Linked DNA regions of Pelodiscus sinensis. The protein of the gene in region 1 purifies or fractionates together with the protein of each later gene. This does not show direct contact. Links are inferred from orthologs where the notes say so. Each region holds a gene or a part of one and is shown in the gene's direction. Other genes may lie near its edges. The genes, in order: NCL, POLR1C, STAU1 and EBNA1BP2.

The links.
Region 2: the proteins of NCL (region 1) and POLR1C purify together in Homo sapiens (affinity purification with mass spectrometry; 3 studies listed by BioGRID and IntAct, with this or other methods). This does not show direct contact. The link is inferred for Pelodiscus sinensis from reciprocal best matches to the Homo sapiens genes NCL and POLR1C.
Region 3: the proteins of NCL (region 1) and STAU1 purify together in Homo sapiens (affinity purification with mass spectrometry; 4 studies listed by BioGRID and IntAct, with this or other methods). This does not show direct contact. The link is inferred for Pelodiscus sinensis from reciprocal best matches to the Homo sapiens genes NCL and STAU1.
Region 4: the proteins of NCL (region 1) and EBNA1BP2 purify together in Homo sapiens (affinity purification with mass spectrometry; 3 studies listed by BioGRID and IntAct, with this or other methods). This does not show direct contact. The link is inferred for Pelodiscus sinensis from reciprocal best matches to the Homo sapiens genes NCL and EBNA1BP2.

What each region holds. Positions count from the first base shown.
Region 1 is NC_134720.1:50,310,632-50,318,524, forward strand, and holds the start of NCL (nucleolin), read left to right. Parts: upstream 1-4,687; 5' UTR 4,688-4,804; coding exon 4,805-4,822; intron 4,823-5,829; coding exon 5,830-5,940; intron 5,941-7,512; coding exon 7,513-7,762; intron 7,763-7,893. UniProt on the Homo sapiens protein: Nucleolin is the major nucleolar protein of growing eukaryotic cells. It is found associated with intranucleolar chromatin and pre-ribosomal particles. It induces chromatin decondensation by binding to histone H1.
Region 2 is NC_134713.1:139,251,410-139,258,782, forward strand, and holds the start of POLR1C (DNA-directed RNA polymerases I and III subunit RPAC1), read left to right. Parts: upstream 1-4,372; 5' UTR 4,373-4,404; coding exon 4,405-4,473; exon of another isoform or gene 4,474-4,477; intron 4,478-5,187; coding exon 5,188-5,259; intron 5,260-6,474; coding exon 6,475-6,582; intron 6,583-7,373. Other genes in the region: protein YIPF3, read right to left, coding at 1-104, 1,150-1,242, 2,046-2,091, 2,931-3,037, 3,396-3,596, 3,828-3,911. UniProt on the Homo sapiens protein: DNA-dependent RNA polymerase catalyzes the transcription of DNA into RNA using the four ribonucleoside triphosphates as substrates.
Region 3 is NC_134728.1:20,553,412-20,561,644, reverse strand, and holds the start of STAU1 (double-stranded RNA-binding protein Staufen homolog 1), read left to right. Parts: upstream 1-4,997; 5' UTR 4,998-5,161; intron 5,162-8,233. UniProt on the Homo sapiens protein: Binds double-stranded RNA (regardless of the sequence) and tubulin.
Region 4 is NW_027465825.1:545,727-553,516, forward strand, and holds the start of EBNA1BP2 (putative rRNA-processing protein EBP2), read left to right. Parts: upstream 1-4,599; 5' UTR 4,600-4,734; intron 4,735-6,021; 5' UTR 6,022-6,029; coding exon 6,030-6,098; intron 6,099-7,790. Other genes in the region: CFAP57 (cilia- and flagella-associated protein 57), read right to left, coding at 4,372-4,528. UniProt on the Homo sapiens protein: Required for the processing of the 27S pre-rRNA.

The sequences.
Region 1 (7,893 bases):
TTTACATCCCTAGCACAGACATGGGCAAATGATAGTCAACATTTTGTCAGTTAGTTCAGGAGAAAATCTACTGGCCTCCCGGTCTACCCACCACTTGCAACATGATGCTTGCTTTGACCACGGCTTGTCCTTTTGTGCCCTGTTGAGTCAGACGTGGCCAGCAGCAGGCCCTCTACCATAATTAAAAACATTGTTAGACACAATTTAGTGTTCTAGTAAAGACAAGCCTGTGCTGAATTACAGTTTTGCCCTTTTCCATCCGCTGTAAATCCCCAGAAAGAATAAAATAATAGCGACAAGAAAAGTGAGAAATTCTTTCCCCTTCATCTCAAGGGAATGTTAACTATGCTCACAGCTTCTCTGCATTTGTCAGCTCAAGCAACTCGTGGGTTATGAAGATCTGCCTCCTGCCTTATATTTTGGGCCAAAAAACCAGTTTTTATGATTTTTAAATTAAAAATAGAGGTTCTGACGCCTCCTCCTGGAAAACCCTGAGTGAGAGATTTAAACTCCAGCCCCTTGCAGATTTAGCTGATTTGCATGTCAGGCAGATGCAATCTTCCTTTTTCTGTCACACTCTCTACTTACATGTTGAGTTGGTTAAAGTTGTTACATTGCAGCCTTCCGGTACAGAGTGGGCGGGGAATTAATGCCACAGAGATGGAGAATATAGTGACTAATACGTCCTAGGGAATTGTGATGTCACAGAAAATGAAGTGATAGGTGCCACTGACAGAAGGTGTTGTAAGGATATGTCTACACTTCCAGATAGGGGTGACATTTTATAGATTAAGCTGTTTGAGACGGGGATTGCTTCTCACTGGCTACGTCTACACTGGCCCCTTTTCCGGAAGGGGCATGTAAATTTCACTAGTCGTCGTAGGGAAATCCGCGGGGGATTTAAATATCCCCCGCGGCATTTAAATAAAAATGTCCGCCGCTTTTTTCCGGCTTTTAAAAAAGCCGGAAAAGAGCGTCTAGACTGGCCCCGATCCTCTGGAAAAAGTGCCCTTTTCCGGAGGCTCTTATTCCTACTTTGAATAAGAAATAAGAGGAAGTAGGAATAAGAGCCTCTGGAAAAGGGCACTTTTTCCGGAGGATCGGGGCCAGTCTAGACGCTCTTTTCCGGCTTTTTTAAAAGCCGGAAAAAAGCGGCGGACATTTTTATTTAAATGCCGCGGGGGATATTTAAATCCCCCGCGGATTTCCCTACGACGACTAGTGAAATTTACATGCCCCTTCCGGAAAAGGGGCCAGTGTAGACGTAGCCACTCTGTTTGAAGAATGCCATGCCTAATGGGCTCTCGACAGTGTTGTCAGCTAAAATGTACTGGATTTATACAGGTTGCACTGTGAAATCTTAGCTGTTTTGTACAGAATAGGATCTACCAACAGCAAAGATTATTTAGTGTGTATAATGGAATCTGTCATCTGCATGTAAAGAGATGACTAAGGAGGGTCCATGATAGAGTTTTATAAAAGCATGACTGGTGTGGAAAAAATGAATAAAGAACTGTTATTTTCTCTTTTCCATAACACAAGAACTAGGCGGTTGCCAAATGAAATTAATAGGTAACAGGTTTAAAACAAACCATGAAGTTTTTCTTCACTGTCAACCTGTGGAACTCCCTGCCAGAGGACGTTGCGAAGACCAGGACTTTAACAGGGTTCAGAAAAGAGCTAGATAAATTCATGGAGGTTAGGCCCATCAATGGCTATTAGCCAGGATGGGTAGGAATGGTGTCCCAAGCCTCTGTTTGTCAGAAGCTAGGAATGGGTGACAAGGGATGGGTTTATGAAGGGGATGGTTTGATGACATAACATGATCTTGGTAACTAATTGACCTTTCACTATCAATGGTAAATTGGCCAATGGAGGGATGATAGGAGTTACCCAGGAAAGGTTCTCTATAGTATCTGGCTGGTGAGTCTTGCCCACATGCTCAGGGTTTAGCTGATCGCCATATTTGGGGTCGGGAAGGAATTTTCCTTCAGGGTACATTGGCAGAGGCCCTGGAGGTTTTTCACCTTCTTCTGTAGCATGGGACACGGATCACTTGCTGGAAGATTCTCTGCATCTTGGGGGTCTTTAAACCATATCTGAGATATAGGTGAGCGGATTATTTCAGGAGTGGGTGGGTGAGATTGTGTAGCCTGCGTTGTGCAGGGGGTCAGACTAGATGATCATAATGGTCCCTTCTGACCTTAAAAGCCTATGGCTGCGTCTAGACTGGCATGATTTTGCGGAAATACTTTTAACAGAAAAGTTTTTCCGTTAAAAGTATTTCCACAAAAGCGCATCTAGATTGGTATGGATGCTTTTGCACAAAAAGTACTTTTGCACAAAAGCATCCGTGGCCAGTCTAGACGCGATTTTGCGCAACAAAGCCCCGATCGCCATTTTAGCCATCGGGGCTTTTTTGCTCAAAACAGTTCTTCCCTGTCTACACTGGCCCGCTTGCACAAGTATTCTTACACAAGAGGGCTTTTTCCCGAGTGGGCGTGGGAAAGTATTTGTGCAAAAAGCACTGATTTTGTACATTACAAAGTCAGCGCTCCTGCGCAAATTCAAGCGGCCAGTGTAGACAGCTTGCCAGTCTAGAGGCACCCTAGACAAAATCTTGCCAGTCTAGAGGCACCCTCCAAGTCTATGAGGGATAAATCACTGGTCTGTTCATTCCCTTTGGGGCACCTGGCATTGGCCACTGTCAGAAGACAGGACACTGGGCTAGATGGGCCTTTGGTCTAGGCGTTCTTATGTGCCACGGCTCTTACTTTTTATGCCATCTAAATTCAAGATTGCACAGGGTGGTGAGTGTGATAGGCAGGGGGCGGCCATCACTGCCTTCCACCTGGTTCATGGATGCACCGTCTCTTCCCCAAGACCCTAACCTCCTGCTGTAGCTGTGCTTCCTGGTGAGTTTTCCTCATTTACTCTATTGCTCCCTCCCCCCCATCCCTTCCTCAGTAAGTCCCCACCACTTGCTGTGTCCCTCTTCTCCGCCACATGCTCCATCCCCGCTGTGCCAGGGGTGAGGAGGGAAGTGGCAGGCAGCACGTGAGGAAGCGAGCAGTGGGGGGAGGAGTGAGAAGGATGTGGTGAGCAGCAGCAGCAGGAGTGAAGCACGGAGGCTGGGGGGGGACGGGACCTGAGGTGGAGTGTGGACAGGGTCAGTAATGCTATGGTGAAGACTGGACACGGAGCTAGCCTCCCCCAGGGGAAGCGTCACCCACTGCCCATGCAAAATTATCTCACTTGCCATTGGAAGTGAGCATAACCCACAGTCTGGCCTGTGTTCCGCAGGTATGTCTATACATACTGCAAGTGACAGTGTGATTTGTAGCACTGGTAACCAAAGACAGTAAAGCACACATGGAGGCTGTGTCTCGACTGGTCAGTTTTTCCAGAAAATCAGCAGCTTTTCCGGAAAAACTTGCCAGTTGTCTACACTGGCCGCTTGAATTTCCGCAAAAGCACTGACTTCCTACTGTAAGAAATCAGTGCTTTTTGTGGAAATACTATGCTGCTCCCGTTCGAGCAAAAGTCCCTTTTGCGCAAAAAGGCCAGTGTAGACAGCTGAGATTAGTTTTGCGCAAAAAAGCCCCGATCACGAACATGGCGATCAGAGCTTTTTTGTGCAAAAGCGCGTCTAGATTGGCCTAAAAGTGCTTTTGCGGAAAAGCGTCCGTGCCAATCTAGACGCTCTGTTCCGAACATGCTTTTAACGGAAAACTTTTCCGTTAAAAGCATTTCCGGAAAATCATGACAGTCTAGACATGACAGTCTACCGTAGCCGGACAGTGGTGGCAAAGGCTTCATCACAGACTAGCCTAGCTGGGCAGCCTGGGTATGCATTCTGATTGCTAACTTGTGCCACTGTTACCTAAACTAGATTAAAACTAGCACAGGAATGCACTGTACTACAACTACATCTTCACTTGCATTGTTGACTTACCCCTCCAAAGAACAAGATAGAAACAGAGTACTGAGGAGCAAGATGGATAAAGAAGGAAGGGAAAAGATAAGGAAGAAAATTGGGAGAGAGAAAATAGGTTAATCTTAAACTCTCACAAACCAAAACAAAGGGGGGAGTCCTTATCCAAAGTCAAGATTTGACCCTGATTATATGTGAGGAACTTTGCTACTGTAAGGAACCCAGATACCATGGTGATGGGCAGTAGCATAAAAGAGTGTAGATCACTAAGAAACCTCCCTCTCTAAGTCATCAGCAGCGCAAATCGCCCTGTCCTAGTCCCTGGGCGGGGGTTCCTATGCAGCCACATGCCCCTAGGGTTGGGTTGATCGCCGGCCCCAGGCTCTTCCTGTCTCCCCCCATTTCCCCCGCCATGGGGTAAGGACCCGACCCCTGTGCTCGCAGCGTGAAGTCCCAGACGCACGTGGTTCCCCCAGAGCCACGTGCTGCGCCCTTCCTTTTTCCCCATCCCCTCCCCCATCCGAACCCCATCCGCGCGCAGCCGCCTATTGGCTATATTGCCCCTCCTCCCCAACGGGCAGGACCTCTCGCTGTAACGCGCGCTCCCATTGGCCGGTGGCAAGCCCGCGCGGATTGGTGTGAATGCCCCCCCCTCGGAGCTCGGCGATTGGGCGGGCGTGCGGAGCTAAGCGCGACGCGCGTAGGGGTTGGCCGAGCGGGACCATGGGGGGCGGAGCGAAGCATAAGCAAGGGGGGAGGCTGGGGGAGGGGCGGCGCTCACTCTTTCACTTCAGCGCAGCACACAGTCGAGTCGCTGCTCCCGCCGCCGCCTGTCGCACCCGGATCGGCCCGCGCCGCCCCGCCGCCATCATGGTAAAGATCGCCAAGGTGAGGCCCGCGGCGCGCGCCAGGCCCGGGGGCCCCGCGGCCGTTAGGCCCCAGCGCGGCGAGCCGAAGGCCCGGGCGGACTCGGCCAGGCCCCAGCCCGGAGGGGGGAGGGAAGAGGCCGCTTGGCGCGGGGGTTTCGGGACTCCCTGAGGGGGGGGATGGTGCCTCCCCCCTCCCCCGTTAGGTTTGGTGCGGTCCGCGCCGCTGCGTTCGGGGCGGTTTCTAGGCCCCTCTACGGCCGTTGGGGGGGGGGGGGGGGAGTTGTTTCTAGGCTCCCCCTCGGGGCTCGCGGCGGAAGCCAGAGGGTCGGCGCGCGCGCGCTGGGGAGAGGAGGGGGGCGGAGCCGGAGGCGCGCGCTGCCGGATGGGAAGGCCTCAGGCTGCGTGGGGCGGCCACGTGGTGTCCCCGGCGCGGCGAGCACGCGGCGCGGCCTGTCCCGCGTGGTTCCAGGCCCTTTGTGGCGCCCGGCGCTTGCGAGGCCCCGGCTGCACGAGCCGCGATAGGGGGCGGGCTTGGCCCTGTCTGAAGGGGGGGGGGGGGGCAGCGTGTCTATACACCAGGGATTCCCCCCCCCCTCTCCATCCACTGTCTCATTAAAGCTCTGCGCCTGCGCGCACACCGCAGCCTCGGCGGGTTTGCGCTCCGCGTGGCTTATTCCCCCCCCCCCCCCCCCCCCGCAGGAGTTGGTCCAGTAAAAAAATAATTTCTGCAGTCGCCCTGTGGCTCGTGAGCAGGCGTGTCACGTGGTGTGGGAAGCGCCTGGGCCCCTAATGCGGGGGACACAGGCCAGCAGGTTCCTAGGTTTGATGTGGACGTGCAGGGGTGCCCCCCCCCCCTCCCGTTGTAATCAACCACTTGCAAGGCCGGTTTGGAAGCAGTTTTGCGAAAAAGTCAAAATGGATCTTGACTTAAAGTGTTTTATGGCTTTGGGGTACTTTACGTTTAAAAAAATATATTTCTCTACAATGGAAGCTTAAGTGGGTGACCTCTCATGTGCGTTCTTCCAGAGTCCGAAGAATCAAGCCAAACAGAAGAAAGTGGCTCCTCCCCCCCCAAAAGATGTAGATGATAGCGAGGAGGAGGAGTCCTCCGAGGAAGAAGACAGCAGTGAGGAAGAGGTGATCATTTTACATCTGGATTCTAGCTTGCTATATGTTACTTTGGGAATTGGGATGTCGACACGTAGTTAACTAAACAATTAACTAAAAAGCCTAAGTTTACCAAAATGCAGGACAATGTAGCACTTTAAAGACTAACAAGGTGGTTTATTAGATGATGAGCTTTCGTGGGCCAGACCCACTTCCTCAGATCAAATAGTGGAAGAAAGTAGTCACAACCATATATACCAAAGGATACAATTAAAAAAAAAAAAAAAAGTTTACCAGTTCATCCTGTCAGCTACATGTGGCGCCCCTCCTCTTCTCCCCCCCCCCCCCCCCCCCGGCCTTTGTTACGAAGCAGAGGCAGTTCTGTAGGGAATTCGGATCTCCCCACAGACAGGGGTTGCTGCTGCTCTGCACTTTTGCCCCCATATCAGACAGTAAGGGGGGGGGGCAAAGTGGCACGGGGGCTGCCCAGGTGTGGGGCTGGAGTGCTCTGGATACCGGCTCCACCCCAGGGACTATCGAATAGTCATGTATCTGCTTAAAAAAATGATGCCATTACGCAACTATTCAGTTACACGTTACTGAAAATTAATCATTTGAGAAACACAACTCAGAAGCCTTCACTGAATGAAATAGAGGAATAAATAGATTGAGACAGTGACTTCAAATGTAGCACTGTAAAGCTTTGAGTGTATTGAGGGAACACTTCAGTGAACTAATTATTTTCCAATTTGTTCTTTTCCCATAAAGCTAGGGGAGAATACTGGGATGTAAAAGCTTATCCGGTAAGCCTCATCTGTAACGGCTGAGGTTTATTAGTTCCGGTTAACTGGTGGGGGCTGGAGCACCTTCCCGCCTATCCAGGACAGGGAGCTGTGCCAGGACCACCGGAGCAAGTGCTGTCCATGGCGGTTCCCACCCCCTGCAGCTTACACGATGGCTCCCAGGAGCAGGGCTGGCAACAGAGCCTTCTCCCTGGGAGTGGGACCAGCAGCAGTTTCTGCTGGCTCCACTCCAAGGGAGGCTTTGCTTGGGCTTTGCAATATAAGTTTTATATCGCAGTGCATGCAGCACATGTAATTCATTATTTTTAGTGGCTATGGGTTCACATTTTTACATCCCTCGAATACTCAAGAGTTGCTAGCTATGGGTATTTTATCACAAACAAAGTAGCTGTTAGTAAGGGTACCTGGTAATACTCAGCGCTTACCAAGCACTTTTAATATTGGTTTCTCTTTGCACTTGCTAACCCCACCACCACAAGAGGTCCAAGATGTGGAGGGAAGCGGCGGGGGGTGGGTGATGCAGAAACAGGCATAGGTGTGGCACAAGTTCATATGTAACAGGGAGATTTATATTTTATATGTAAATGAAGGACAGTCGTTTAGTCCGTGGTGAGCCGCCAAGGTGGCTCTATGGTATAGTCATTGGCCCTCTTTCTAGGTGCTCCAGTAGAAGAGCTAGCTTGCTGAATGGTTGTGGTGGATAGGTGGTTGTGGTGGGATGGGTAGTGATATCATTCATTAGCTGAACAATCAATTTAGGAGTTGCGTATGCTCATTGGATTTGTCTTGTTTCCCTAAGGGTGTTCCTCAGAAGAAGGTGGTAACCCCAAAAGCAGCAGCTACACCTGGCAAAAAGGCTGCCACTCCGGCCAAGAAGGCAGTTGCCACTCCAGCCAAGAAGGCAGTTGCTACACAAGCCAAGAAAGCAGTTCCCACTCCAGCCAAAGGAGCTAAAAATGGAAAAAATGCAAAGAAAAAAGTGATGGAAGAGGAGGATGAGGAGGAGGACGAGGATGATGATGACAGTGAGGAGGATGAAGATGATTCTGGCAAGTCAAAATTCACTTTTCTGTTAAATGCTTTATCATTTTTGAACAAAATTACCTCATCCCAAATAGCTCCTACTTGTCCTGATCACAGTTCAGCACAATTGGCGGCTCTTAAATGAGGCATGGGATTT
Region 2 (7,373 bases), on another chromosome or scaffold:
ATCTGGGCATTGCACAGGTATGCCAGGAAATAGATGAAGGAGGAGACGCCCAGCCAGTAACCGAAGCAAGTGCCAATGGCTGTGCCCATCAACGTGCCTTCCCTCTGCAGAGAGAGCAAGACAGTGAAGAAAAGGACAGAGAAGACATCTCACAGAACAGATACAAGCCAATCGCTACCCCCTCGCCAGCAGATTCCCCCTTGCCTTTGGCAAATGTTTAGCTAATGCCTGCCTAGCAGCATCCAGAGAGGGAGGATCAGTGATACAGTGCTAAACTGTATAGCACAAGAGGCCTGCAGAAGTGACCTCAAGTAGGTAATTCTGTCACGTGACAGATTTTAGGGATGATCTTGTGTGACATCACCACAGAAAGCCTCCATGTCCTAACGTTTTCTCTATCAGTAGATGAGACTTCAGTAATAAATACAGGTATCATAACATAAAACATGCATAACTCAGTTTAAGTTTGGCTTATAAAAGATAAATAGCAAAGTACATCCAAAACTCACATTTAGTCAGTAAAAAAGCCCAAAGGTGACACACAATAATCTTTACAAGTTTTAAATAAAAGCAGTGCTTACAGGTATGTTCCAGCTATATTTGTAGTGCTGCCCCATAAAACTAATTTAACTGGCTGATCAGACCAGCTTGACAATGATTTTCCATCCAGCTCCAACTTATCCTGACAGCCCTCACACACATCCCACTCCCAGCAGTGCCCAACACCTTAGCCCCCCTAGCCCCCCACTCACCTCAATATACTGCCCCCTCCACAGCTCCATCACTCTCAATCCCACTCACAACTCACCCTGGTACCTTTCTAGCCACTCCCTGGTAACCCCCAGTACAGCATCCTGTTCCTGTCCCAAGCTAGGGTGGCTCCTCCCAATCCTCACCATCCAGTCCTGGATTTCTGATGCAGGGGTGCATCTCTGGAATGCTCCAGCTGCACTACACCCTACGCTAGTTCATCCACTGCAATAGGCTTTTTCCCACTTCCCAGACAGCCCCAGAATAGGCCCTATCACACATCAAGGTTCCTGTCACCAATGCATTTCTAAGTCACACTCAAAATAGAAGCACCCCATGTAACTGACAGCAGTTCAAAGCCTGGTGCCAACCTGATTTGAAACTGAAATATTCCCTTACAATTATAGTGTCTGAAGTCTTCATCCCATGCAACAGGATAGCCACCAATGTGAAGACCAGCATAAGGGGGCCGTAGAGCTCACCTGCAATCTTCTACAAGGGTGACAGAGAAGAGAGGGGTTTGGTTAGTGCTGCAGAAAGCCAGACCACATTCAGATTACCTGGGAAGTACCCCAGACTTAGCTCATACTCTGGTCACTTGCTGACCTGAGCAATTATACAAAAGGCTGGTGATAGCTACCAAAGAGAAACAATCACATAAGTAAGACTTGAGGAAGAAGCTTAACAGAGTTATTGAGTCAGATCAGGAGCTAAAGTCATGCTTGTCCCACTGCAAGAGACAGGTACAGACGGGGTGTGGTACAGTGGGAATTAACCAGAAAATCTAGCAGAGGCACCATACAACAACATCTCTCTCACACAATTCATACATAATCAGTCACCCTGGCACATGCATGGCAAAGTGCTTTAACTAATTCCCTACTCTGGGAGAGGGGGGCAGAGAAAGAATGGAAGGCAAAATGAAAGGAGTCTGAGTCAGAGCCCAGGGTAGCCTGCTTTCAGGCCCAAGACAGCTGTAATTCACTTCTTGACAAAGTGAGCAAGAGCTGTCTGTAGCACTGTGTCAGCAGCACTTTGCTGACAGGCTTATTCCTTAGCAAACTGACAGTTTCAGAGAGCATTGAACTTGGAGGTGAATGTGAGTAGAGGGCAGGGCCCGATTGTCCCCTTGGTGCTGGTTGGAATTTCTGAACTCCCCTCAGGCAAAGGTGTGCAGCCTACTGATAGAGAGATGTGTGTGTTAGAAATATTTAACAACCGATTAAGTGCTCCTGTACTTTCTAAAGCGCATTTACTCAGGATATAGAATAAAAGCTCTCCACAGTGGAACTCACCTGGGGAAAATTAATCATCTTCATGGGGATCATGGATTCCAGCAGTCTGCACCTCACAGAAATATCAAGAGTGAGGAAGGAAATGAAAAAGTTAACAAGAAACCCAAGAAGCAGGAGATGCTGTATTCCATTCCCTGATCAGTGATACAAAGCTCCATATCTCTTCCCCTCTGACCCTCAACAAAGCCAGCCAGTCCCACTAACAGCCAGGCACCAGACTGGAAACAGTGCCTTAGAGGGGAAGAGGATTTGTATTGCAATCCTATCCCCCTGTGCACAAACAGTTTTCTCTGCCTGGTGTCCCGAGAGCAGGGTGACACCATGGCTATTATAAAGGAGATGTGCAAAGTGTTGCACTTGTGGGACAGATGAGGTTTTGTAGGGCTATGTATGCCCTTTCCCCACACTGTATGCAAGAGCAGTAACAATGAAAGGCTAAAGGAGCTGCTGGTTCAGCTCCACAAACCCTGTATCTTACACTTAGAATGGCAGCACTAGGCTATACATGAAACAACATGCATCTCAGGATGAACTGAGGGTAGCCCTTTAGGAATAATGAAGGGTAAACAAGGGAGGATCCTGGACAAATTTCCCCCAAAGGCTATCTCCATAGCAAGTCCATAAGCAGACGTGGATTAGTTAGGAGCTATCCAGGTCTTTATTATGTGAGAAACAGTGGGAGATGCTCCTCACTTTATGGCATGACCCTTCTGTCCTGTTCAGGTTGCATCTCTACCCCGTTATACTGGACCAGGAATACATGACAGGCCTTTCACAGTACCCCATGAAGGGGCCATAGTAGTGGACCGGGCTGCTCATACGAGGATGCGAGACTGAGATAACTGCATGGCCTAAGTCATTTGCCCCTGTGCTTAGTTTGCTCACCTGTTGCGAACCTGGATGGGCTCCACATCAAAGTAAGGTCTGAGAATATCAATGTTGGCATAGAGATTGAAGGCCTTCGACGCTTGTCTCTTACCTGCCTGCCACATCTGGGGAGAGAAATCAGTAACTGTAGCAGACTAAACATTCCCTTTGCAATGCCGTTCTGAGGCGCATCTCCTGGAACCAAAGCATCCAGTGGCTAAATAACCAGAATGAAAATTAAACATCTTTGGAGTGATCAGCATCCCATCCAAAGCCTAGGGGAAAGTAGGACAAAAGACATCAAGCCCAGAATGGGACTCAAGCTGTAGCACCCAGAAACCAAAGGTGAGATAGCTCAGGGTCATATTGGAAATGGCTACCTGGACCTAAAATGGGACTCAACATCTATAGCTCACTACAGTCAGAGCCAGACACAAGAAGGCAACACAGCCCGCCCCCCATCTCTTGCAGCGCTCTGCTCACCTGGTCAGCTACTTGCCGGCCCAGCTGTCCCTTAAAACCCTTCATGCCCAGGAACTCTCCATCCTCCTCGTCTGCCGCAGCAGCTTCTGCATCCACCTCCTCCTCCTCCTTCATGCGCTGGTGCATCTCGCCCATGTCCTCGAAGCTGGAGCCAGACGTGTCGTCCATGTTCTCCATGTCGATCACAGCGGAGCCGCCTCCCTGCGCCCCAGGGCAAAGGGTCGGGGAGTCAGGCTCAGCGCCAGGGCCGGGGAGCGCCCGTCCCAGCGCCGCGGCGCCCGCAGCAGGGCAGGCGCCACCCTAGCTCCCAAGCCGGGGAAGCGCAGAGCCGGGGGGGGGGTGTTGTGTTGGGGGGGGGCACAGCAGCGGCCCGCACCGCTGACAACCGCAGGGCCCCCCCGGCTCCCCCCTCCTCCCTGCCCAGCCCCGCACCTGCATATTGTCCTCGAAGCCGCCCCATTCCGCGGCGCTCCCGGGCCTGCCGCCGCCCGCCGCCGCCCCCCCGGGCCCGGACATCCTCCCCGTTGGCTGGGGGCACCGGGGCCCCCGGCCGCTCTGCGCCTCACTGCAGGGGCTCCGGGGAGCCTAGTCTGGAGACTGACGTGACTGACGTCAGAAGCCTCGGCAACTTCGGCCGAGGACGTGGATGCGCCTTTGCTCTCGCGAGATCTCATACTAGCGACCAGGTCTCGACGCCATCTTGGTTGTGGCATAAGAGCGAGCATGAAGGCGCCTCTGGGAGAAGGGTCTGGGGAGAGCGGTGCCTTATTATCAAGACAGCGTCAACCCAGCGGCGAAGACCCACAACCCCGCGATAGCAGTAGTGGCTGTTTCTTAGGTCAACGCCACACCCAATATGGTGAAGACCAAGTCGGGCTAAGGCGCCGGCGCCGCCAAAGCGGAAGGAAAGGTCCGTATCACGTGACAGGGCAGTGGGTATTCACTAATGCGACTGCGCAGAGAAGAGCCGGATTGTGGCCGTGTCACGTGCTGGGGGCGCGCCAGGAAGATGGCGGCGCGCGGCGGCGTGGAGGAGATGCGGAGCCGGGTGATACTGGGGGAGTTCGGGGTCCGCAACGTGAGTGAGTTGGGGGCCGCGCGCGAGGCAGGAGGGGGCCGGGCGCGCGCCCGGGTCTTGGTGAGCGGCGGTTGGGGGCGGTTTGCCCCTGGCACGCGGCCCCTGCTTCGCTCCAGCTCGGGGCTGGGCTGGCAAGATGCGGCCCCCTGACAGGGAGGGAGTCTGGCCGCTTCCTAGTCGCGCCCTGTGGCCCTGACCCCGCGTTTCCAGGCGCGGCTCGGGCAGAAGGCTCCTGTCCAAAGGGCTCACGAGCTGTGGTGCTGCCCCGGCAGGGGCCGGAGCCGCGCGCCCTTTAAATAGATGCGGTAGCCGGGCAAATGCAGCAGCAGCGTCGGGAGCCCTTGAAGTTGCCGCTGTTTAAAGGGCCTGCAGCTCCCGGCCCTGCCGCTTCGTGTTGCCTGGCGGCCGCCCGGGACTCCCGATCGCAGCACTGCCCGGCAGGGGCCGGAGCCGCGAGCCTTTCCAATGGCCGCAGCAAGCCCGGGCGGCTGCCGGGCAACGTGGTGGTAGCAGCAGGGCCGGGGCCCCGAGCCCTTTGCGGTGTTTTTACTTCAGAACCTCCAGCCCCAGACAACTCCGGGGAGAGGCGAGTCCCCAGTGTCTCCCCTTTTGCCCCAGGCCCTGCCCCTTCTGGCGGAGGGGGGTTGAGCCAGCCCATGACTAACATTCATGAAGTGGCCCACCCCCAAAAATTACTGCCCACCTCTGCTCCAGGTTCACACCACGGACTTTCCTGGCAACTACCCTGGCTATGACGACGCTTGGGACCAAGCCAAGTTCGAACAGGTAAGAAGCCACTGGGGACCCTTAATGGGGGGAAGAAAGGGGGTCTGAGCAGGCAGGGGGCAGGGAACCAGTGTTCCCTCTAAGATATTTTCCTTCCATGAGCGAAGTGAGTTTTGTCTTCTGTGCCTATAATGAGGTCACGTGCACTTGTTCGGATGTGTGTCACCATATCCCCCACCAGTGGTGATACTTCTCAAGAGACTCTCCCAGCATGCAGACCTGAGCTCTGCTCCCAGGGCAGACTCTGCCCCCTCGCTGCTCTTCCCCAGGCTGGCTGAGAGTCCCTGCCTGAGGCTGAGGGAAGCTGCTGCCAGTGCCCAGGGTTTGCAGGGAATTAGGTGCTGGGGCTGGCAGGAGGTTGCAGGGGTAGGGAACTCTGAGGGGAGAAGAGACGTGTGGGGGTGGGAAGAGGGATGAAGTGGGCCCCAGCCCCAGGAACAGCCTCACCACAGCCCAGCTCCAGCCTTGGCCTCAGGAACAACCGCTGCCCAGCAACCCGGCTCCAGCTTCAGCAGCCCACCTTTCCCCTGCAATATGGCTTGCCCAGGAAGCAGCTGGGCAGCCACTACACAGCCCTGGCAACAACTCCAGCTCTGGGGAAGGTCAGGAGCAGGCCCCAGCCCCTGAAGCAGCCACCCTCCATGCTGCCACATGGCCTGCCGTGGCCAACAACTTCAGCTGTGGGGAAGGGCTGGAGCTATGGTCAGGGCTGCATGGTGGCTGCCCAGCTGCTTCTTAGGTGGGTTATGTCGCTGGTAGCTACCCTGTGTACCGGGGCTGGGGCTGGGGCTGGAGCTGGCTCCAGCACCAGCACACAGGGCAGCTACCCACCATACAGCCTATCCCAGGAGCAACTGGGCAGCCACCATGCAACCCTATCCCTCCAGTCTCCCACAGAGCCTACCGCCAGCAGCTTACCTTCCAGTGGCTCTGATGAAGAGGTGGGCGGGCTTCAAATTCTTTGTGCACGCCTGTGCAGGCATGCACCCTAGAGGGAACTTAGCAGGGAACCTGTGAGGGACCAAGGCCTTGCAAGCGGCGGGGGTTGGGGGGGGAGAGACATTGGGGTCTCCTGTGGCTGGCCTCTGCAGCCCCATAGCAGGTGGCCATTAGCCACCTGCTCAATACCCCTCTGCACCTGGCAGCAGCCAACAAGGCTGAGCCCCTCCTCGTGAATTGGTACCTGGTGACTGCTCCCTTGCGTGTGCCCTACAGAATTTCCGGGTGGACGTGATCCACATGGATGAGAACACGCTGGAATTCGACATGGTGGGGATTGACGCAGCCATTGCTAATGCCTTCCGGCGCATCCTGCTCGCTGAGGTACCCACAGAGGCTTCCGGATCTTCATGCCAGGGCTGCATGACCCAGTTGCTAGTCCCATCAAATCCTGTCATGTCTTTTCTCACTGCTAGACCTGGCTAATGTTGAGCATCTTTGCGATAGACAAAAAATGTATCCTAACCTTCTCTTTCTCTGCCCAGAAGCTAGATTGTGTTAACTGGTAAAGAAGTTTGAAGGCAGGCCAGCTGGGGCACTAGCTCCTGGGAGTGTTGGGGGGAGTGAGACCCAGATCTTTGGAAAGGTGAGATTGTGACTGAAGAGTATAGAGAAGGCAGAATCTCCGAACTCAGTGAGGTGGAGAATAGGCTTGAAGTGCACTGAGGATATTCCATGGACTACAGAACTCAGTGTGCTCCAGGTAGTACAGTCTTTGACCCTGTAAACTAGAAGTTTATGTAATGAGTTTGTGTAAGAGAGCACCAGTGCTAAAACAGAAATTGTTGCATTTCTAGGATGAGAAGTATAGTCCAGCTGCTAATAGCTATTAAAGAGCCTATGCACAGATCTATGTCTCTGGTATAGGGCCATGTTCTACAACTGCTCATAATGGGTAATACTAAATCCTATTAAAGTTAGTGGTAACATTCAAATTATTAGCAATTACACAACACAGTTATTGGGAGGGAACCAGCAAACAGAGAGAGGGAAAGTGGTAAAAGCAGGGAATGAAGAAGATACAGGATCCTGATCTAGATCCTCCTTTGGTGATGGTATCTGTGAAGGGCAAGAGTTTGACTTACTCCAAAGAGGGTGGGGTGGAGCAAAAAAAC
Region 3 (8,233 bases), on another chromosome or scaffold:
GGGCCGGCGCTCACCGTGCGCCATGCACCCGGGGCCGGCTCTGGTATCATGCATGCGCCACGTGCCCAGGGCCAGGCCAGCCCCGAGCACTTGGCGGGCGCCGTGTTGGGGACCACTGATCTAAATGGATTTCGGGTTGCATACGAGTGCAATGGCCGAGACAACAGCTTTCCTGAGGAGTACCACACACTTTGGCCGAACTGTTCTCTGAGTCAGTGCTGCCAAAGCACCCACCACCAAGCACGAACACTGCTTTGTAGTCACCTAAGGTGGAGCACCCACGGGAACACTCCTCGAAGGGAAGGTTACTCACCCTGTGTAGTATCTGGAGTTCTTTGAGATGGCTGTCCCCATGGGTGCTCAACCATCCACTCTCCTCTCCTTGGCTTCAGATCCAACTACAACCAGGTCAAAGAAGGAACTGAGGAGGTGGTTGACTGTGCGCGTGGGATGACCATTCCAAGCATCACGTGCCAGCACTCTGCATGCACAGACAACCGCCTCCTTAGTTCCAACCAAAGGGGTACAGCTATAAAAAAAAATCTGCCAACCATGGGCGCAGCAGCACTGGCACATCTAAGGTGGAGCATCCACGGGGACAACTGTCTTAAACTCCAGTTACTGCACAAGGTGAGTAATCTTCCCTTATAGATAAACAGTTTCTTGGGGGAGGGGAGTGTTTGGGGGAGGACAGACTGCTATGTGTGCAAAATGAAATCCTATATGTAAACTAAGCAAATAGGAAATAGCTGTCTAGGCCACGGCCATGCTTCTTGTTTCTGAATGCCTTTTACATGTATTTTTTGTATTCAAAGGGTATAGACCTTCAGTTGATACACACTTCAGCCATGAGGATATTGTAAGTTATGGAACTTTTTCTGAAGGAAATACCTGTCCAACTCTGTTCCAACCCCTAGTTATTGGTTGTAATTATACAGGCATCTTCTCTATAACTTCAGTGTGATCAGACTTTTTGGAATTTGACAGGTGTGAGAATAAAAATTAATCCTGTTTAATGATGCTAGTCATCAACTTCAAATACTGAATAATCAGAGAAAAACAAATCTCCATAAACTGTGAGGTCTTACTTTTTTAATGTTCAACCATTAGTTTGGAAATGTGTGCATGTAAGACTGCATACTGTTTTGAAGCAGGAGCCACATAGTTGTCTAGTGTATAACATATTGACTGCCATTTTGGAGTCAATAATTAATACTGTCAAATCCGTAAAACACCTGCTAAATTTTTCCTTACTGCGTTTTTTTATTCTCTAGAAGTATACAGTAATAGCTTTTTAAGTAGGAACTGTTAAGTAAAAAGTTCCTTTCTTTTTGTTCAAATAAAACAGTGAGGTATAAAGTTCAGTGGAGCACAAGTGTAAGGCCAAACAACCAATCATAGTGATCATGTTCCTGTCCTAAAGCCTTTGTAATTGCAGTGCAATATTTCTTAAATCATTTACAACTAATTACTTTTATTATAGTAGCATAAAGCAGCAGTGGGTCTTACAACCCCATTTTAATGGGGCTCCCAGGGCTGGCTTAGACTTGCTAGATGGTTTATTAGATGATGAGCTTTCGTGGGCCAGACCCACTTCCTCAGATCAAATAGTGGAAGAAAGTAGTCACAACCATATATACCAAAGGATACAATTAAAAAAAATGAACAAATATGAAAAGGATCTTAGTGGATTGTTCACTTTCAGTCCTTTGGGTACGATGTCCATTTTCTTGCACTTGGATAGAAAGATGATGTCTGTCTGTATCTGTGCGAGTTTCTTCATATGGTTGATGGATTTCCATTCCAAACGGCTAAATGTAGTGCCTTGCATGTCCTTTGGTATATATGGTTGTGACTACTTTCTTCCACTATTTGATCTGAGGAAGTGGGTCTGGCCCACGAAAGCTCATCATCTAATAAACCATCTTGTTAGTCTTTAAAGTGCTACATTGTCCTGCATTTTGCTTCAACTACCCCAGACTAACACGGCTACATTTCTATCACTATTAGACTTGCTGGGATCCAGGGCCAAAGCCAAGCCCCACCAGTCAAGGACAAACGTATTGGGACTTAGGCGACCCTCCTGATGTTGAAGCCCTTGGGCTTCAGTTTTCATAGAATCACAGAATTGGAAGAGACCTCAGGAAGTCATGGAGTCCAACCCTCTGCTAAAAACAGAACCAATCCCAACTAAATCATCCCAGCCAGGGCTTTGTCAAGCCAGGACTTAAAAACTTCTAGGGATGGAGATTCCATCACCTCCCAATCCAATGCTTCACAACCCTCCCAGTGAAATAGATTTTTCCTAATATCCATCCTCAATCTCCCCCACTGCAACTTGAGATCATTGCTCCTCATTCTGCCATTTTTCACAATTGAGAACGGACTGTCTCCATTCTCTTTGGAAACCTGCCTTCAGGAAGTTGAAGGCTGCTATCAAATCCCCTCTCGCTCTTCTCTTTTGTAGACTAAATAAGCCCAAATCCTCCGCTTCTCCTCGTAAGTCATTTGCTCTGGCCTCCCTTTTTGTTGCCCACCGCTGGACTTTCTCCAGTGTGTCCACATCCTTTCAGTAATAGGGGGCCCAAAGAATTGGATGCAATTCGCTAGATGTGGTCTCACCAGTCCTGAATCAAAGAGAATAATCACTTCCCTAAATGCTACATCTACACTGGCACGTTCTCATGCAAAACTCTTTTGCAGAAGAGTTCTTCTGCAAAAACTCTTCCAGAAGAAAGCATCTACACTGGCATGTGCTTTTGTTCAAGAGATGTGCTTTTGCGCAAGAGCATCCATGCCAGTGTAGATGCTCTCTTGCGCAAGAAACCTCTGATAGCCATTTTAACCATAGGGCTTTCTTGCTCAAGAAATTCATGGCCAGTGTAGACAGGAAACTCTTCTGGAAGAGCTCTTGTGCAAGAGGGCTTATTCGTGAGCGGGAGCGTCAGTTCTCATGTAAGAAGCCCTGATTTTATACATTAGAACGTCAGTTTACTTGCGCAAGAACACGCGGCCAGTGTAGACAGGCAGCAAGTTTTTGTGCAAGAGCGGCCAGTATTGTGTGAGATCGCACCAGTGTGATACAGCCTCAGTCTATAGGGAGCTGCAAACCTCTTTCATCCACTGGGGCAGGCTGGGGGGAAGGTTGAGGCAGGGAGCCTTCTGGGCTACCTAGACCTTGGTATCCTCCCAGCCTTCAGAACCACCTGGTGTGTGTCTGTCTGAAGATGATCTGTGCCATCATATGCCACCAGTACCTCTCTGCCATGTATATTAGTCAAACTGGACAGTCCCTATGGGAAAGAATTAATAGACACAAATCAGATATCTGAAAAGGCGACATACAGAACCCGGTGGGGAACATTTTAACTTGCTCAGGCCCTCATTAATGGATTTCAAAGTCACTATTGTTTCAGGCCAATTTCACAAGCCAACTACAGGCAGTCCCCGAGTTACGCGGATCCGACTTATGTCGGATCCGCAGTTACGAACGGGGTTTGCTCCGCGTCTCCCTGGTCTGCTGGAGACCAGCAGACCAGGGAGACTGGGAGCAAAGCCTCTGAGGACGCCGGCAGCGGGACAGCCGCAGCGCGTCTGGGCTGTCCGCTGCCCGCGTGCTCCGCGACTTTGCTCCACGTCTTCCTGGTCTACTGGTCTCCAGCAGACCAGGGAGACATGGAGCAAAGCTGCTTCCTGTAGTCAGCCGCTGGTCAGTTTTAGCAGTGGCTGAATCTGGACGCCAGTTCCGACTTACATACAGACCCTATCTTGTACGTAACCCGGGGACTGCCTGTATACAGGGAAGCCTTAGGAATCAAACCTGTAAATGAAGTTAAGTTCTATCACAAAGGTATGAATAGAGACGTTAGCTGGATGGCCAACTACATTCCTAATGACATCAAAAAAATAATTTGCACCTTCTCTATCAGCTTCATGTACACTCTATCTCTTCTCCCCCTCCCTTTTCCCCTCTTCCTCCGTGTGCCCTATTTATTTAGAAACTGAACCTTTCATCGGAAGAAGTGGGTTATGTTATGTCTATAAAAGCCCATAATGTCATCTACATGTTTTTGTAGTCTTTAAGGTGCTGCAAGGCTATTTGTGGGGTTTTTTTTTAAGTTTTTGTCGTTACAGACTAACTTGGTTACTCTTTTGAAGTGTCTGTCACTCTGGTGGCAATTTAAAGGGCCCAGAGCTTTGGCTCTTACCACTGTAGTTGCAAGGCAGCTTCCCCTGCCTGCCTCCCCCGGTTGGTAGGCCTCAGTACAGTGTCACGGTGGCACTACAGCTTCCCCAATGCAGAAGTCAATACTAGCGCCATTGCTCTAGGGACCTGGATGTCTTATCTTCAGGTTCAACGTCGCTGAATTATTTCCTGGCTCCAACCCACACGGCCCCCTTGGCTCCCTCTCCCCTCAGTGCCATGTGGCAATCGCCTCGCCCGTCGCTCTCTGCATTTCCACCCCCTTAACCCCCCACGACAGAGAGAGGGGGTGTGTGTGTGGGGGGGTCCCAGCCCCCACAAAGGCCCCAGTGGGGGGAAGGGCTTGGAGCACTGCGGCCGTGCCTGCCCCCCGCAGGCTCCCGAACCACGCGGCGGTCGGATAAGCCTGCCCAGCCCCCATGAATCGAAGCTTCAGGCCCTGCTTGCTGAAAGGCTCCGGGTACCCCCAGCCCGGGGCCGCGTCCGGCACCGGCTTCACGGGAAAGTTTGACCAAGTTCAAGTCCCCCTCCCTCAACGGCGAGCGCCCGAGCGAAGCCGAGCATGCCGGGAGCTGTAGTCCCCTAGGAGGTGAGCTGGGCTGAGCGAGCGGTGTATGCCGGGAGCTGCAGTCCGGCCTGAGGCCTGCGCTCCGCGCCGGTCCGCCGGCGGATTGGCTGCGAAGGCTACAATGGGCGGTGCTATCCGGTACTACAGTCCTTCTGATTGGCTTCCTCGCTCCCGGCGTGGTGTCGTCACTTCCTCCCCGGCCGGGCCTGCCCCCGGCGCTCATTCTCTTTAGTGTTTGCCCTGTGTCCGCCGCCTCCCTTCGCCACTGCGATTTGCCCCCCCTCTCCCAGACCCCCACCCCCCGCCTCGGGACCCGGCCAATGGACTGAGACGCCCGCCTGCCCGCCCGCAGCACCAGCCGGCCCGGGAGCCGCAGCCCAGGCAGCCAGGTGAGGGGGGCGGCTCCGGATTCCCGGGCAGGGGGACGGGGGGAGGCGGCGGGGCCTAGCGGGGGTAGCGGCGGCTCTGGTGCCTCCAGCTGTGGGGTGCGCGAGGAGGCCGGCAGCGGGGCTCCTGCTGGGCGGGCGTGGGAGTCGGTGCTCGCTAGGGAGCAGCTCGGGCAAGGGCAGGATTCCCCTTCGCCTGGCGGGCATGAGCCGGACTCGTCTTCGCGGCGAGCGGGCCGTGGGGGGCCTGGCCTGGCGTAGGGCGAGGGGGCCTGGCTCAGGTTACAGAGCGGGGCCTGGCTGAGGCTTGTGAAGGGAAGCGGGCCGCGCGGGGTAGGATTCGGCTCCCTGTCCGTGGGGGAGGCAACTGAGGGGAGTATCCCGGGCCTCGCCCCGTTAAACGCACCGACCCCCAGGTTCATAGGCAGCTGCAGCGCAAGATCCACCCCCACCTCCCGCGCATAGCGCTAGAGTGGGTGTCAGCTGCAGCATCAGCCACCCCCTTTTCCTGTCGTGACACCAGTTTTTGGTAGCTGTAACAGCAACAGGTTCCTGGGAAAGCTCTGTTCCCCCGTTACGCCTGTGGGATAGGAGCATTTGTCCAGTCCGTACCTGCTATTCCATTGTGTTAGAGCCCCGGTAGACAGTATCTTGATGCACAGATGGAAAAAATATGTAGCACTTTAAAGACTAATGAGAGAGTTTATTAGGTGATGAGCTTTCATGGGCCAGACACACTTCGTCAGATCATATTCTAAAAGAGAATTGGCATTCCTGTATATAACAGCTTTATGTGGTGTGTTTTTTTTTTTTTTTTTTTTTTTTTTGCCTAAAGAGGTGGAAGAATGTGATGTGTGAGGATGGAGAGGTTAGATCACAGTCACATACACAAAAAATGCCAGACCATCAATATAATTCTCTATCCCCTGCTTGTGTAGCAAATGTGTAAAATAGATTCATAAAGATCTTCTGAGGTTTTTTAACCCTTATAATTCTCACTTTAACATACAACTACAGTAACTTGTGGCAATGGCTGAACTATGGCGGGGGAGGAACTCCTATATTTTTGAAATAGAAATGTCATTATAGTGTTAACTATTTAAAGCTAATTGGAAATCAGTTAACCAGGTAAAAAACTTGAGTGTAGATGTCCCCTGAATAATTGATTCCCTCCCTCATCCACACACACATACTTGCACACTTCCCTGTCCAAAATCCTTATTGGGTTATACAATTTCATTTTTAACAAAACTGTACTGTGTATGTGTGTAAGTTTAAAAAAAAACCCACTAACATCAATAGCTTTTGACAGCCAGGCTTCTCGAATGTTTCATATCTTCAATTTTTTTTTCCTGTGTTGGTCTCTGTCAAGTCAATCTGCAGATGTTAAACTATCTACAGATTTACCTATATCAGCACAATTGCACAGATACAATTACAGGATGAGAGGTAAATTTAAAAAGTGGGCTGCTTGTATCATGATGTCATTGAATAATATACATTTTATCCTACAAATGTCTGGATTTTTAAAGCCCCATTTAATAGTCTTTATTGGTAAATTTAGAAATTGTGAAAGTGGTTTGATTATTTTTGCACATTTATAATTCAAAAAAGAGGAGTTAATTTTATTTGTTATAACAAGACTTTCAACAGTTGCACTGATAAATTTTCATAGACATAAAGATATATTTATGATGCAGGTAGGTCTCTTGATTATTTTATTGGACTGGACTAATAACTAAAAAAAATGTGCTTGTAATGTTTTAGAAAAATAAATGTTTCATTTTAATTATTTTTGTGATAGCGTAAACTGTTAGCATTTAAAGGCTTACGTGTTATCTCAGTTATCATTAATCCACATCCTCTCTCCTGGGTGTTGTCTTCTCTGTTTGTGAAGCAATATGTAAATATCACCTATTTTAATTATTTTTAGCTCTATTTTATACTGACACAGATATTAGCTTTTGAGGGTTTTTTTTTTTTTTTTCTTTGATTTATAGAAAGTTGTCCAGATATGCAACCTTGCTCAGTTAGTGTTTTTGCATTCTGGTAACTCATTTTTTCCTGTAATTGATAGAGAACGAGAGGCCAGTGTCCTTTTTTGACAGGTATTTAATCTTTCAATAATAAATCTTTGTCTAGTCTACTTTAACACTAGTTATAAAAGTTAAATACTCAGTCCCATCAGAGCTGCTTCATACTGTAGGTTAAGCCATGGTCGCTGAGGTTTGATTTACACCTAAAACCCCGGTCAACCTAGTTATATTGTTCAAGGCTGGGGGAGGGGAGGGAGAGATTGACCCAGTTAGGTCATCGCTTTTGCCTGCCTTCCCCAAAGTGTAGGCCAGCGAAAGAATTCTTCCATCGACATAGGTACTGCCTCTTCTGTGAAAGAAAAAACATTATTTTAATGCAATAAGTGTCTGCAGCTGTTTTTCTATAGTATAGGCATGCCCTGATATAGATTATTGTGGAATATTTTGTAAAGTGATCTAACTCTTCAGAGCTATTGGAGTTTGTGGAAATTTGGACTTGAGGTTCCAATAATGATTTGGTGTAGAGGGGGAAGAAAGGAAAGGAGAGAGGAGCATCATCAATTCCTGCAGTATTTAACCTTTCATGTTTAAAAAAGTGTTAGCTTTTATAGTCATAAGGAAAATCCAACTTTGTAATGTGGTTCTGTCTTCCTGGGTTTGCAGACAGCAGACTTAATCGGTTTCATTGTTGCCATTGTGTTCTTACTACTATAAGTGAAACTGATGATCATGTTTTTGCCTTTGTCATGGCTACTTGGAAAAGTTGTGAACAGGCAGGATGATGAAACAAATGACACAAGGCGAATATAGAAGTGGAAGCTGAGTGAAGACTAGAGTAAGAGTGCTTTGAGGAGTCTAGAGGAGATGTAAAGTAATGGATTCTTCCATACAGTCAGGAGACTTGAGATAAGGGAAGAGGTTGATACCTATTACCCTTAACTACCCAGAGGCTGATATTGGAAACAATAATAGCATCTTTTTTGGTAGCCACCAGCCATCAAATTAGAAATGGGCATCAAGTGAACATTGGATGAATTCC
Region 4 (7,790 bases), on another chromosome or scaffold:
CGTGTATACATGCCTCCACTGGGGGTGTTAGCAGGGACTGCATTCTCATTAGCACAGTGCACAGCAGCAGCTAGGCATATGAAGCACACACGTGTGTACACGCCTCCACTGGGGGTGTTAGCAGGGACTGCAGTCTCATTAGCACAGTGCACAGCAGCAGCTAGGCATATGAAGCACACACGTGTGTACATGCCTCCACTGGGGGTGTTAGCAGGGACTGCAGTCTCATTAGCACAGTGCACAGCAGCAGCTAGGCATATGAAGCACACACGTGTGTCCATGCCTCCACTGGGGGTGTTAGCAGGGAATGCAGTCTCATTAGCACAGTGCACAGCAGCAGCTAGGCATATGAAGCACACACGTGTGTACACGCCTCCACTAGGGGTGTTAGCAGGGACTGCAGTCTCATTAGCACAGTGCACAGCAGCAGCTAGGCATATGAAGCACACACGTGTGTACACGCCTCCACTAGGGGTGTTAGCAGGGACTGCAGTCTCATTAGCACAGTGCACAGCAGCAGCTAGGCATATGAAGCACACACGTGTGTACACGCCGCCACTGGGGGTGTTAGCAGGGACTGCAGTCTCATTAGCACAGTGCACAGCAGCAGCTAGGCATATGAAGCACACACGTGTGTACACGCCTCCACTGGGGGTGTTAGCAGGGACTGCAGTCTCATTAGCACAGTGCACAGCAGCAGCTAGGCATATGAAGCACACACGTGTGTACACGCCTCCACTGGGGATGTTAGCAGGGACTGCAGTCTCATTAGCACAGTGCACAGCAGCAGCTAGGCATATGAAGCACACACGTGTGTACATGCCTCCACTGGGGGTGTTAGCAGGGACTGCAGTCTCATTAGCACAGTGCACAGCAGCAGCTAGGGCATATGAAGCACACACGTGTGTACACGCCTCCACTGGGGGTGTTAGCAGGGACTGCAGTCTCATTAGCACAGTGCACAGCAGCAGCTAGGCATATGAAGCACACACGTGTGTACATGCCTCCACTGGGGGTGTTAGCAGGGACTGCAGTCTCATTAGCACAGTGCACAGCAGCAGCTAGGCATATGAAGCACACACGTGTGTACACGCCTCCACTGGGGGTGTTAGCAGGGACTGCAGTCTCATTAGCACAGTGCACAGCAGCAGCTAGGCATATGAAGCACACACGTGTGTACATGCCTCCACTGGGGGTGTTAGCAGGGACTGCAGTCTCATTAGCACAGTGCACAGCAGCAGCTAGGCATATGAAGCACACACGTGTGTACACGCCTCTACTGAGGGTGTTAGCAGGGACTGCAGTCTCATTAGCACAGTGCACAGCAGCAGGTAGGGCATATGAAGCACACACGTGTGTACACGCCTCCACTGGGGGTGTTAGCAGGGACTGCAGTCTCATTAGCACAGTGCACAGCAGCAGCTAGGCATATGAAGCACACACGTGTGTACACGCCTCCACTGGGGGTGTTAGCAGGGACTGCAGTCTCATTAGCACAGTGCACAGCAGCAGCTAGGCATATGAAGCACACACGTGTGTACACGCCTCCACTGGGGATGTTAGCAGGGACTGCAGTCTCATTAGCACAGTGCACAGCAGCAGCTAGGCATATGAAGCACACACGTGTGTACACGCCTCCACTGGGGGTGTTAGCAGGGACTGCAGTCTCATTAGCACAGTGCACAGCAGCAGCTAGGCATATGAAGCACACACGTGTGTACACGCCTCCACTGGGGATGTTAGCAGGGACTGCAGTCTCATTAGCACAGTGCACAGCAGCAGCTAGGCATATGAAGCACACACGTGTGTACACGCCTCCACTGGGGGTGTTAGCAGGGACTGCAGTCTCATTAGCACAGTGCACAGCAGCAGCTAGGCATATGAAGCACACACGTGTGTACACGCCTCCACTGGGGGTGTTAGCAGGGACTGCAGTCTCATTAGCACAGTGCACAGCAGCAGCTAGGCATATGAAGCACACACGTGTGTACATGCCTCCACTGGGGGTGTTAGCAGGGACTGCAGTCTCATTAGCACAGTGCACAGCAGCAGCTAGGCATATGAAGCACACACGTGTGTACATGCCTCCACTGGGGGTGTTAGCAGGGACTGCAGTCTCATTAGCACAGTGCACAGCAGCAGCTAGGCATATGAAGCACACACGTGTGTACATGCCTCCACTGGGGGTGTTAGCAGGGACTGCAGTCTCATTAGCACAGTGCACAGCAGCAGCTAGGCATATGAAGCACACACGTGTATACATGCCTCCACTGGGGGTGTCAGCAGGGACTGCAGTCTCATTAGCACAGTGCACAGCAGCAGCTAGGCATATGAAGCACACACGTGTATACATGCCTCCACTGGGGGTGTTAGCAGGGACTGCAGTCTCATTAGCACAGTGCACAGCAGCAGCTAGGGCATATGAAGCACACACGTGTGTATACGCCTCCACTGGGGGTGTTAGCAGGGACTGCAGTCTCATTAGCACAGTGCACAGCAGCAGCTAGGCATATGAAGCACACACGTGTGTACATGCCTCCACTGGGGGTGTTAGCAGGGACTGCAGTCTCATTAGCACAGTGCACAGCAGCAGCTAGGCATATGAAGCACACACGTGTGTACACGCCTCCACTGGGGGTGTTAGCAGGGACTGCAGTCTCATTAGCACAGTGCACAGCAGCAGCTAGGCATATGAAGCACACACGTGTGTACATGCCTCCACTGGGGGTGTTAGCAGGGACTGCAGTCTCATTAGCACAGTGCACAGCAGCAGCTAGGCATATGAAGCACACACGTGTGTACACGCCTCCACTGAGGGTGTTAGCAGGGACTGCAGTCTCATTAGCACAGTGCACAGCAGCAGCTAGGGCATATGAAGCACACACGTGTGTACACGCCTCCACTGGGGGTGTTAGCAGGGACTGCAGTCTCATTAGCACAGTGCACAGCAGCAGCTAGGCATATGAAGCACACACGTGTGTACACGCCTCCACTGGGGGTGTTAGCAGGGACTGCAGTCTCATTAGCACAGTGCACAGCAGCAGCTAGGCATATGAAGCACACACGTGTGTACACGCCTCCACTGGGGATGTTAGCAGGGACTGCAGTCTCATTAGCACAGTGCACAGCAGCAGCTAGGCATATGAAGCACACACGTGTGTACACGCCTCCACTGGGGGTGTTAGCAGGGACTGCAGTCTCATTAGCACAGTGCACAGCAGCAGCTAGGCATATGAAGCACACACGTGTGTACACGCCTCCACTGGGGATGTTAGCAGGGACTGCAGTCTCATTAGCACAGTGCACAGCAGCAGCTAGGCATATGAAGCACACACGTGTGTACACGCCTCCACTGGGGGTGTTAGCAGGGACTGCAGTCTCATTAGCACAGTGCACAGCAGCAGCTAGGCATATGAAGCACACACGTGTGTACACGCCTCCACTGGGGGTGTTAGCAGGGACTGCAGTCTCATTAGCACAGTGCACAGCAGCAGCTAGGCATATGAAGCACACACGTGTGTACACGCCTCCACTGGGGATGTTAGCAGGGACTGCAGTCTCATTAGCACAGTGCACAGCAGCAGCTAGGCATATGAAGCACACACGTGTGTACACGCCTCCACTGGGGGTGTTAGCAGGGACTGCAGTCTCATTAGCACAGTGCACAGCAGCAGCTAGGCATATGAAGCACACACGTGTATACATGCCTCCACTGGGGGTGTCAGCAGGGACTGCAGTCTCATTAGCACAGTGCACAGCAGCAGCTAGGCATATGAAGCACACACATGTATACATGCCTCCACTGGGGGTGTTAGCAGGGACTGCAGTCTCATTAGCACAGTGCACAGCAGCAGCTAGGCATATGAAGCACACACGTGTGTACATGCCTCCACTGGGGGTGTTAGCAGGGACTGCAGTCTCATTAGCACAGTGCACAGCAGCAGCTAGGCATATGAAGCACACACGTGTGTACACGCCTCCACTGGGGGTGTTAGCAGGGACTGCAGTCTCATTAGCACAGTGCACAGCAGCAGCTAGGCATATGAAGCACACACGTGTGTACACGCCTCCACTGGGGGTGTTAGCAGGGACTGCAGTCTCATTAGCACAGTGCCCAGCAGCAGCTAGGCATATGAAGCACACACGTGTGTACACGCCTCCACTAGGGGTGTTAGCAGGGACTGCAGTCTCATTAGCACAGTGCCCAGCAGCAGCTAGGCATATGAAGCACACACGTGTGTACATGCCTCCACTGGGGGTGTTAGCAGGGACTGCAGTCTCATTAGCACAGTGCCCAGCAGTGCTCTGGGGCCCTCTCTCGGTACAGACGGGGCAATCCCGGGTAAGAAGGGTCGGGCGGGAGACTCTTACCCGGGATGAACTTCTGCCAGCGCTGCTCCAGGTGGTACTTGAGGCAGCTGTTCCCCGAGGGGTAGATGATGATCTGCTCGTCGAAGTAGCACACGCAGTTGGCCACGCGCGAGCGGAGCCCGAAGACGTGCAGCGGCTGGGCCACGATCACGGACATGGTGGCTCCGCGCCGCGGGGCGAGAGACACGGGGCTTCACTCGGCCAGCACCAAGCGCCTGGTTGCCATGGAGACCCAGCGCTTCTGACCCGGAAGCGGAAGTGAGCATGCGGCGGCGGCCTTGGAGAGGCCGGAAGTGAACTTTCGAGGCGGCGCGGGCTGCGGCGGGTCCACGCGCGTGGCAGGGGCAGGAGCTGGCTGCGGAGGTAAGAGCGGTCGCGCGCTGACTGCAAGGCCCACGGTGCAGCGCGCTTGGCCGGCACGTGCCGTCGCGCCCCAGGGCCGAGCCCCTGCGCCGCGGCCTCGCTCCTAGCGCAGCCCGGGCGCCGCGGCTGCTCTTCTAGGCGTCCGCGTGACGCTGCTCCCTCCGCGGCTCCCAGGGGAACAGGCGGGCGGCCAAGCCGCGTGTGATTCCGATGGCGCTGCTGCAGGGAGAGCGGCGAGCTGTTGTCTCTAGATGTCATGTATGGTAACCTGAAGGGTTATCTGCAGTAACAAACAGAAAGGGGGGTTACACACGTGGCTTTACTACTGTTAACAGTCGCAGCATTAAAAGTCTTTGTTCCCTATAAAATGACGTACTCTCTAAAAGTCAGCTCCTCGCACGCAACCACTGACATTTTCAGCAGTTACACAGTTACTAATTACACATATTTGAACATCCCTAATCCCTGCCTGACAGGCCCCGCGCTGGGACCATGTGTGCTTCTGTGCCGTGAGCTCCATGCTTGTGCCTCTATGTACTGCCCCATGCACAGTCTCACGGCTTCCATTGGTTGGAAACTGGCCAATGGGAGTTGCTGGGGCAGTGCTTGTGGATGGTTTGCTCCCCAACAAGCATGTGGCAGAGAAACAAACATGGCCCTAGCAGCCAGTTACTTTGAGCAGTGTGTGGGGTATGACAGGCAGGGAGCCTGACCAAGAGTCCTGCTGGGATGCTGGTCATGAGACACTTAGGATAAGCATTTCCTGGCTAGATCTGTGCCTGGCACCCTACTTCTGCACACAACCCCTCTGTCCAAGACTCTGTACCCTCTCCAAAACCTTTTCTCCAGGTCAGAATCCTCTCCTGCAGTCATACTCCCTCCCAGATTCTGCACCCCAATCTCCTGCCCCAGGTCACAACCTCCTCCTTCACCCAAACTCCATCCCAGACACCACACCCCTTGCTGTACCCCAATCCCCTACTCCGAGGTCCCTTCTGCACCAAACCTCCATCCCAGACCCCACATTTCCTCCATTAGCATGGAAGAATATGGCTCTTGACCACTTACCAAATTCTTGGAGTACCCCTACCTGAATCTAGCATCATGTCCCTGCACAGGGAATATGACACCATCCACTCTGCAATCAACCATCTCTTTTTGGCCAAGCTGGGTACAAATGAGACACTTATACATCCTTATGCAGGTCTGTAGATACAGAGGTGAATGCAGTATGAGAATTCAAATTGAACAGAGTACATATCATCTTTATCTCTTTCTTTCTTCCAGTTAAAAAGATGGCAGATTATGAAAATCAGTCGTCGTCAGAGTCTGAGTCAGAAGAATCTGTCATCACCGACAAAGAGGTAAACTTCATACCGACAGGCTTGAAAAATATAGAAGACCCTCACAATTTGCAGAATTGTTATTTGCAATTCTGCATATTTGTGGGTGTCTCCTGGCGAGGGATGTACTTGTGTAGTTGACTAAATGATTAACACGCTTATCAGTTAACATTATCTACTACACGCCACACTCCCCTCCCCATCTCCTTTAAGGTTTAGCAGGCTGGTTCAGTCCCAGCTCCCACCTGGTATCAATCCCTGTGACAGCTCTTAGTGCTTATAGTGCAGAGCCGCAGTGGGGATTGATACTGGGTCCTGGTGCAAGCTGGGACTGAGCCAGTCTGCCCGCATGCCGGCTTTTAGTGCCAGGACCGGTATCAACCCCCCCTTGCCACTTTGCAGTACAAGTGCTTGTAGTGCAGAGCCACAGGAGGGGTAGTTGGTGGATTGAGTGGTAACAGTGCTATCCCTTATCAATTAGTTGTGTAGTCAACCAAGTTTTTGTTTACTACACATTTAACAGATTTACTCGCTTCTTAATATCCTTACTCCAGGCTTGAGTGGGACACGGGGGCCAGCAGCCATGGGGGACTTACCTTGGCTCCCGGCCTCTGCAGTGAACTCACAGTAGTGAGTTCCATGGTGAGTTTGGAGGTGACTGGGAGCAGTGACTCCCAGCATTGGTGAATTTCGCCATTCGCAGTGGTGCCAAGAATGCAGCTACGGCAAATTGCAAGGGTTTCCTGTATTTCTCAATGCTGTGTGGGGAAAAAGAGAGAGAATGCAGATGAGAACACATAACACTATACGAGGAAAGGAGTTGTGGTAGAGGGATAAGTTACAATGTCAAGCGTCCCCTATTAGACTAGCAATGTTCCACCACAGCATACTGCAGGGGTGGGCAATAATTTTTAGTGGAGGGTGGGGGCGGCATTCCAAGAGTTTGGTAAGTGGTCATGGACTACACTTCTATGGAGGGGTCAAAATGTTGTACCAATAAAAGCAAGCGGGATCTTATGAGAGGGATAAGGCAAAAAGCCACATTTATTGTAAAGATAAGAATAAAGAATAAAGAAAAGATAGAAGCAAACAACGTTTTTTAACTACTTATTCCTATCACTACTTAACCTTTATACATATACATATACATATATATAAACATTCATTCAATCATTCATCCATTCATTCAAGTTCTATGTATTTGTTATAGTTACCAGCCTGGAAGTTGCTTGTGACAGAATACTGGCCAGGTATTCTGTACACAAGTGATGGTAGTGGGGAGCGAAGTCCTGATCAGATGCACATCTGAAGCTCCTGGTAGGCTGTCAGCAGAACCTTGGACTCTGACTCCATAGTCTTTTAGTCCAGTTCTTATAGGAATTTCTTCCTATGCCAGTCTATGGAAATTGCTGCATCATGCTGATGTCCAGGGTGGCTGTCAGGTGCTTGTCAGTAATCTCATAGGGTGGACCTCCAGTACTTGGTTTTCTCCACTTGACACCTTTTGGTTGCACTGGCACCTGACGCCTTCTTCAGCCCTTTGTTGCTGCATTCTCAGGCTGGCACCTCTCAAAACCATTCATTCATCATCCAAGCACTCTCTCTCTTACATACATTCCCTAATTAATGTTTCACATACAGTATTTTGTATAATAATAACTTTACATATACAAGAGTTGTAGTTACAAAAAGTCACAAAAGTTTCTGGGTGGC